Linked DNA regions of Oryctolagus cuniculus. The protein of the gene in region 1 interacts with the protein of each later gene in a pairwise test. Links are inferred from orthologs where the notes say so. Each region holds a gene or a part of one and is shown on either strand. Other genes may lie near its edges.

Region 1 (3,883 bases):
CCCCTAGTGTTGTAGTTTTTAATCCTTAGAAGTTTATTTTGCTGTTTTAAAAAAATAACTTTTTGAACCTAAGGAATATAGTTATTATAATAATACTTTTAAAAATGTTTTTATGATTGATTGTTCTTTTTCCTCTCTTTGGCTAATATTCTGCTTCTTTGCAGTTTTTATCTTTCATCGGATACCAGACATTGTGCAGTTTATTCTGTTGAGTGGTAGACATTTTTGTATTTTTCCAAATCTTATTTAGATTTGTTCTGGGCCCCAGTTAAATCCCTTGGAAACAGGTTTTTGGGTTTTGGTTGTAAGATCTGAACAATGGTCACTTAGCATAATTATTCCCTACTGCTTAAGTGGGGAATAATATGCTTTCTAATGCCCTGAGAATATGAGGCTTTTAATCTGGATGGTGGGAACAGGTACTGTTCTTCACTCTGTGTAAGCACTGGGCATTGTTCTCTTTAATTCCATTGGATGATTGATTCTTTACCCAGCTTTAAATGATTTCGTTATCTTCATGTACTAATTGGTATTCTACTGGAATACTCCAAGGAATCTGTGTAGCTCTCTTCTCATGTGTTTTGTCCTGTGAATTCTCGCCACCTTGGTCTTGCTGTCGCCCCAGCTGCATTCCCTCAAATCGGGAGTTCTCTGAGGTCTTTGTGGGCTCTCTTCTTAATGCCCTATCTCGGAAGCCACCAAGGGCTCACCTTGTTGGTTTCTCATTTGTCAGGAAATCACTGTTCTACACTGTTTGATAATCTAATATCCTTTAAACCTGGTGTCTTGTCATTTTCACTGGTAATTTAAGACAGGAAGGTTAATCCTGTCACTCTGTTTTAGTGTGGCTGGAAATAAAGTCCAGTGATACCAAGTCCAGTGCAGGCTTGATTATAGTTTAGAAGAGCATTTGAACTTGACTCTAGGTGCTTTAGATTTTAGGGGAATGTTGCACAGTGTCACACAAAATGAGTCAGATACCACCATACCCATATTGATCATCTGCTATAAAGTATCTTCATACCTAATCTGAATAAAATTAGTTTACTTTATAATACTGCTGTATTTAAACCTGCAGGAATTTCTGTCCTTTTTCCAGATTTTGTGTAAACATATTTCAAGATTTTCATCTTGTGGCTAAAGTAATATTTTTGTCTACTCTTAATAAGGTACTCAAACACTTTTTAATTCTTTTTATCTTATTATATAAAAAGACACTTTGCTTAAGATTCATCTTACAAAATCTGTACTTTAAGTATTAAGTCGCTTTTTATACATAGTTCTGAAAATATAGCCTGTCTCTCTTTGCTGTTTTGGCTATTTGAAAATCAGATGCAGGGAAGATAAAGTGTTCAAACTATGGTTTCTTCCAGAGTTTAAAAGGGGTATGTGTTTCTGTGGTATATAAAAGCCTTTGTCACCTATGTATATGTTGTACCCTGTGACATACGGTTTTGAAACCTTGAAATAAATTTCAAGAAAACCTATAATTTTGAAGTCTTTATATAATGAATTTCATACTCCTCTTCTGGGACCCTCTTAACAACTGGCCTCGATATGTATGTTTATTTTCTGTGAATAGATGTGGGTTAACTAACAAAGTCTCAAAAAATACAAAGAAAACACTCATGTTAATGAGTTACTGCTCTTTTGGAGGGAAATGATAAATATAAAGACATTTGTTGCATTGTTTCTTCTGGAATTTATTAATTTACTCACAGTAGTATATCTGCATGAACCTTCTTTATGTGTTAAAATCTTGTAAGAGTACAAAATATGTCATTTTTATAGAAAGAAGGCTTTAATTGTTGTTACTTAAAGTGTTTTTACTAGAAAATTGTAACAATGTATTTGTGATGTGCTCAAGGAATTCTTGCTTTGAAAATTTAAAAAGGAATTTGATTTTAGGTCTTTATCTGAAGCCATGTCAGTGGAAAAAATTGCTGCAATCAAAGCCAAAATTATGGCTAAGAAAAGATCTACTATCAAAACTGATCTAGATGATGACATCACTGCCCTCAAACAGAGGAGTTTTGTAGACGCCGAGGTAGATGTGACTCGAGATATTGTCAGCAGGGAGAGAGTGTGGAGGACACGAACAACGATTTTACAGAGCACGGGAAAGGTAATAGAGGTTACTCATTTCTTAGAGTGCCATGTCTGTGGTTAGTCTGTGATTGGTTATGGAATTGCTTAACATTTTTTATTAGAAGGAAGTTTGTAGTTTTCACTCTTCGAAAGAACAATAATAATACAGATTTCCAAGTGGTCATATTTGTCCTTGCATTCCTGAACGTGGCTGTCAGTCATTCAAGAAGTTGATAAAATCTGAATCAGAGCGCAAGCCTCTCCACATACCATTTGTAAATTAGAGTGACCCAGTTTTTTTTTGTTGTTGTTGTTGTTGTTGAAACCTCATGTCTTGGGCCGGCGCCGCAGCTCACTAGGCTAATTATCCTCCGTCTTGCGGCGCCGGCACACCGGGTTCTAGTCCCGGTCGGGGCGCCGGATTCTGTCCCAGTTGCCCCTCTTCCAGGCCAGCTCTCTGCTGTGGCCAGGGAGTGCAGTGGAGGATGGCCCAGGTGCTTGGCCTCTGCACCCCATGAGAGACCAGGAGAAGCACCTGGCTCCTGCCTTTGGATCAGTGCAGCGCGCTGGTCACAGCAAACCGGCTGCGAGGGTGAACCAACGGCAAAGGAAGACCTTTCTCTCTGTCTCTCTCTCTCTCACTGTCCACTCTGCCTGTCCAAAAAAAAAAAAAAGAAACCTCATAACCTCATGTCTGGAGGGTTTTATGGCAAGCTCTTTGGTCATCAGAGCTGATATCATGAATTTTTTCTACATAAAGTAGAGAATCAGTCAGCAGACATTTATTGAGTATATTTTATACTTTATTGTGGATGTAGGACTTTCTATTTTTTTGCTTCTTCACTATGGGAGCTATTTTGTTGTTTTTGCTCCAAGACTGTGGGGTTTTCCTCTCTCTCTTTGTCCGCTGCCTCTTTTCTTCCTTGGTTCCCTCCCACTTCCTCCCCTTTGATTTTTCCTTCCTCCTCCTTCCTTCCCTTTCACTATTACAAATAATGCTTTAAAAGACATTCTTACACATATATAACTTTGTTCAGTTATGTGACTAGTAAAGGATTAAAATGAATTTCTGGTTAAAGGAGATGTGCAGTTTAAGAAAATTTTTTTATTTGAAAGGCAGAGTTTTAGGGAGTGACACAGAGAGACTGATTGATTGATCTCCAATCCCTGGTTTATTACCCAAATGGCCACAGCAGCCAGGGCTGTGCCAGGCGAAAGTCAGGAGCTTCATCCGGGTCTCCCATGTAGGCCACAGGGGCACAAACTCTTTCCCAGGTGCATTGACAGGGAGCCAGCTTGAAGTGGAGCAGCTGGAATTCACACCAGTGCTCATATGGGATGTTGCTGTTTCAGGCGGAGGCTTACCCCACTGCTCCACAGCACTGGCCCTGAGATGTACACTTCAGACCTTGAAAGATAACATGAATTTCTGCAAAGGAAACATTGATTCTGTCTCATGTGTATATTTTCATCAGTCTTTCCTGTTCTACACCTCAGTTTTCTGTTAAACGTTCATTATCCTCTGATGTACGGTTGTTAAATGATCTAATTAAGAATATTTGAAGAATCATGGCAATTAGTGATGAGCTTCACTGTTCATCACTTCAGCATTCTTCTAGGCAGATTGATTTTGATTGTAGAATTTTGAGATTTTAGTCTGAAATTTACTCTGACATTGTAAGAATAAAGCTACTAGAGAAGAGTGTTTAAAAAATGATTTATTTTTGGAGGGAAGGGTAGCCCACATTGTAGCTTAGTAGGCTAAGCTGCAGCCTGGGATGGTGGCATGACGAGT
Region 2 (4,626 bases), on another chromosome or scaffold:
CCAAGCAAACCCCACGTGTTCAGGTATCTCCAGCCGGTTCCCGGAAGCGCCGAGCTGGCGGCACGTGACAAGCCGACGCGCCGTGAGCTCTGGGCAGGGAGGCACAGGCGCCGGCGGCTGAGGGAGCCTGCACGGAGAGCCAGCGCTCTCTCGGCAGAGGGGACGCGGCGCCACGCCGGCCCCAGGGGACAGGAAGTGCACAGGAACAGCCCCAGCTGCTGCCTCCCACGCAGCGCCAGGAGGCGGTCACCTGGTCCCTCTGCCAGCCAAGGGCCGTGAACACGGCAACAGGTGGGCGTCCCCGTCCATCCTCCACTCTCCCGTCTCCTTTCCAAAACATGTTTTCAATGCAAGCATCAGCACCCCCCGCCCTCCGGCCTTTCGCCGGCCGAGCTCGGAGAGGGCCAGGGCAGGCACCCAGCCTTGCTGGCCTCCTGGGTCTCCGTGAGTGAACGGACAGCGGCACCGGGAGGTTCCAGCAGAGGAAGGCCGGCGAGGGAGCCCCCAGCCGGGAGCTACAGCCCCAGCCGTGCTTCTCCAAGCCCCGGTCCAGAGAGCCTGCGGCGGCGGCGCCAAAACTGCCCCGCCGAGCCAGGGACACAGGCGGGCGGCCACGAGGCTGACGTGGGGCCCCGTGGGGCAGACCCGCGGGAACCCCCAGCGGGCAGCACCCCCGCTCTGCGCTCACCTCGCCGAGTGACATCCCACGGCAGGCGGGACCACGCCGCCACCCCTGCCCGCCCTCGCCGCCTCCTCCTCCCGCCGCCCCGGGCACCCGCAGGTGTCGGTTGGCGCGGGGCGGGAACTCGGCCGCGGGCTCGGGGGTCGGGCAGAGCCGAGCCCGCCCGGCCTCCCCGCTCGCTGGGACCCCGGGGTCCCGCTTCCCCCCACTGAAAACGGCCTCGCGCACTCCGTGGTGTCAGTCGCCACACGACCACGTGGACAACAGCTTCCCAGGCCCTGTGCGCGCCGGGTGGGCGGCCCCGACCCGACTGGCCTCGCCCCGCCCCCGCCCCGGCCCGGCCCGGCCCCAGCCCCCAGCCCCCGGCCCGGCCCCGGCCCCCAGCCCCCAGCCCCCAGCTCCCGTCCCCGGCCCCGGCCCCCAGCCCCGGCCGGCCCCGACCGGGCCCGCCCCCTGGCCCCGGCCCCGTCCCCGGTCCCCGGCCCCGGCCCCCAGCCCCGACCGGCCCCCAGCTCCCGTCCCCGGCCCCCAGCCCCGGCCGGCCCCGACCGGCCCCGGCCCCGACCGGCCCCCGGCCCCAACCAGCCCCGCCCCGCCCCCTGGCCCCGGTCCCGACCCCCCGGCCCGGCCGCCATGTGGCTCGGGCCGCGCGGCCGCCCACCTGCCTCCCTCTGCGTCTTCACGCTGAGGTACTGGCGCAGCTTCTTCACCGCGCGCTCCCGGACGCCCTTCTCGTGGGACGCCAGCCGCTGAGCAAACTGCATCTCGGCCGGCTGCATGGCGGGGGCCATCGCGCCCACTGGGGCAGCCCCGGCCGCCGCGCGTGCGCAGAGCCGCCGGCGCGCGCCGATGACGTCACAAAGGCGGCGCCGGGCGGCGCGTTCTGGGCCGTCGCGCCGCGTGCCTGGCAGCGGGCGGGGCCGCGGGCCCGAGCGACGCGCGCCGGCGCCGTCGGGGCTGCTGACGGCGAGGTTAGCCGGGGAGGGTCTCGCCGGGCGCCGCGCGCTGGGCTGCGGCCGGGATCGGGACGCGCGGGCGGTCACTGCGGCGTGCTGGGCTCCGGCCGGGACCCCGCGCCTGGCGCTGCAGGTGCAGCGGTCCCCCGCGTGCTGGCCGCGGGTAATGCGCAGTGCACCTGCCGGCCCAGGCTGCCTTCGCGCCGGCGTGGTAATGGGTTTTGGGGGCAGGCCCTCCCATCCTCCTCCTCCCACGTCCGTTCTGGGACCTTGCTGGGTGGAGAAACTCCTAAAATTCCTCCCAGAACTTAAAATTTTTTAAAATACTTATTTATTTATTTGAAAGTCAGAGTTACACACACACACACACACACACACACACACACACACAGGTCTTCCATCCGCTGGTTCACTCCCCAGTTGGCCGCAATGGCCCGAGCTGCACCGATCCGAAGCCAGGAGCTTCCTCCAGGTCTCCCACGCGGGTGCAGGGGCCCAAGGACTTGGGCATCTTCTACTGCTTTCCCAGGCCATAGCAGAGAGCTGGATGGGAAGGGGAGCAGCGGGGACGACCCTGTGGCGCACTGGGTAAAGCTGCTGCCTGCAGTCCTGGAATCCCATACTGGCACCGGTTTGAGTCCCGGCTGCTCCACTTCCGATCCACTCTCTGCTATGACCTGGGAAAGCAGTGGACGATGCCCAAGTCCTTGGGCCCCTGCACCCACGTGGGAGACCCGGAAGAAGCTCCTGGCTCCTGATTGGCACAGCTCCAGCTGCTGTGGCCAATTTGGGAGTGAACCAGCGGATGGGAGATTCTCTTTCTCTCTCTTTCTCTCCTCTCTGTAACTCTTTCAAATAAATAAATAAATCTTTTAAAAAAAGACAAAAAAAAAAAAAAAAAAAAAGGAAGTGGAGCAGCCAAGACTGGAACCGGCGCCCACATGGGACGCCAGCCCTGCAGGCGGCGGCTTTTCCTGCTACGCCACAGCGCCAGCCCCGTCCCAGGACTTCTGAACGGAGCCTTCTTCTAAGCTGCCTCTGGAGAGGGTTGGCCAACCAGTTCCTGAACCATAACAAGTAACAAGACTGATACGTAAATGCTGGTTTGCTTCCAAGGCTTGCTTCCTCCTGGCCTCACACAGAAATTCCGAGTTTTCTTCAAGATTTTCCCGTTTTCTTTGGCTCTCGTACACACATTGCTAATGCCTACCCAGCTGCATAAAATGGTTCCCTAAGAGGAGTAACCCATAATCTTGGGGGTGGGGAGAACACGCCAAAGGCCCCCATGAACCTGGGAGCATCAATCTCTGGTAACACGTGCAGGGGCCTCGAAGGGCCAGCCCACAGTGCAGGTGCAGGGCTGCGGGGTCCCTGCGCAGGTGCAGGACTGTGGAGGAGGGAGAAGTCCCTGCGGGGTCCCTGCGCAGGTGCAGGGCTGTGGAGGAGGGAGAAGTCCCTGCGGGGTCCCTGCGCAGGTGCAGGACTGTGGAGGGAGGAGCAGGCCCTGCGGGGTCCCTGCGCAGGTGCAGGACTGTGGAGGAGGGAGAAGTCCCTGCGGGGTCCCTGCGCAGGTGCAGGGCTGTGGAGGGAGGAGCAGGCCCTGCGGGGTCCCTGCGCAGGTGCAGGGCTGTGGAGGGAGGAGCAGGCCCTGCGGGGTCCCTGCGCAGGTGCAGGGCTGTGGAGGGAGGAGCAGGCCCTGCGGGGTCCCTGCGCAGGTGCAGGGCTGTGGAGGGAGGAGCAGGCCCTGCGGGGTCCCTGCGCAGGTGCAGGACTGTGGAGGAGGGAGAAGTCCCTGCGGGGTCCCTGTGCAGGTGCAGGGCTGTGGAGGGAGGAGCAGGCCCTGGGGGGTCCCTGCGCAGGTGCAGGGCTGTGGAGGGAGGGAGGAGCAGGCCCTGCGGGGTCCCTGCGCAGGTGCAGGGCTGTGGAGGGAGGAGCAGGCCCTGCGGGGTCCCTGCGCAGGTGCAGGGCTGTGGAGGGAGGAGCAGGCCCTGCGGGGTCCCTGCGCAGGTGCAGGGCTGTGGAGGGAGGAGCAGGCCCTGTGGAGGGCCCTGTGCAGGTGCAGGGCTGTAGAGGAGAGAGGAGCAGGCCCTGGGGGGTCCCTGCGCAGGTGCAGGGCTGTAGAGGAGAGAGGAGCAGGCCCTGCGGGGTCCCTGTGCAGGTGCAGGGCTGTGGAGGGAGGAGCAGGCCCTGGGGGGGTCCCTGCGCAGGTGCAGGGCTGTGGAGGGAGGGAGGAGCAGGCCCTGCGGGGTCCCTGCGCAGGTGCAGGGCTGTGGAGGGAGGAGCAGGCCCTGCGGGGTCCCTGCGCAGGTGCAGGGCTGTGGAGGGAGGAGCAGGCCCTGCGGGGTCCCTGCGCAGGTGCAGGGCTGTGGAGGGAGGAGCAGGCCCTGCGGGGTCCCTGCGCAGGTGCAGGGCTGTGGAGGGAGGGAGGAGCAGGCCCTGTGAGGTCCCTGCGCAGGTGCAGGGCTGTGGAGGGAGGAGCAGGCCCTGCGGGGTCCCTGCGCAGGTGCAGGGCTGTGGAGGGAGGGAGGAGCAGGCCCTGCGGGGTCCCTGTGCAGGAGCAGGACTGTGGAGGAGGGAGGAGCAGGCCCTGCGGGGTCCCTGCGCAGGTGCAGGGCTGTGGAGGGAGGAGCAGGCCCTGCGGGGTCCCTGTGCAGGTGCAGGGCTGTGGAGGGAGGAGCAGGCCCTGCGGGGTCCCTGCGCAGGTGCAGGGCTGTGGAGGGAGGAGCAGGCCCTGCGGGGTCCCTGTGCAGGTGCAGGGCTGTGGAGGGAGGAGCAGGCCCTGGGGGGTCCCTGCGCAGGTGCAGGGCTGTGGAGGAGGGAGGAGCAGCCCCTGCGGGGTCCCTGTGCAGGTGCAGGGCTGTGGAGGGAGGAGCAGGCCCTGGGGGGTCCCTGCGCAGGTGCAGGGCTGTGGAGGGAGGAGCAGGCCCTGGGGGGTCCCTGCGCAGGTGCAGGGCTGTGGAGGGAGGAGCAGGCCCTGCGGCGCCCTGC

What was found.
Region 2: the proteins of CDC73 (region 1) and HSF2BP interact in binary tests that used the Homo sapiens proteins (3 or more experiments, as listed by UniProt). The link is inferred for Oryctolagus cuniculus from reciprocal best matches to the Homo sapiens genes CDC73 and HSF2BP.

The regions. Positions count from the first base shown.
Region 1 is NC_091444.1:9,863,141-9,867,023, forward strand, and holds part of CDC73 (parafibromin), read left to right. Parts: intron 1-1,908; coding exon 1,909-2,125; intron 2,126-3,883.
Region 2 is NC_091435.1:2,458,459-2,463,084, forward strand, and holds the start of HSF2BP (heat shock factor 2-binding protein), read left to right. Parts: upstream 1-1,558; 5' UTR 1,559-1,653; intron 1,654-4,626. Other genes in the region: RRP1B (ribosomal RNA processing protein 1 homolog B), read right to left, coding at 1,344-1,473. UniProt on the Homo sapiens protein: Meiotic recombination factor component of recombination bridges involved in meiotic double-strand break repair.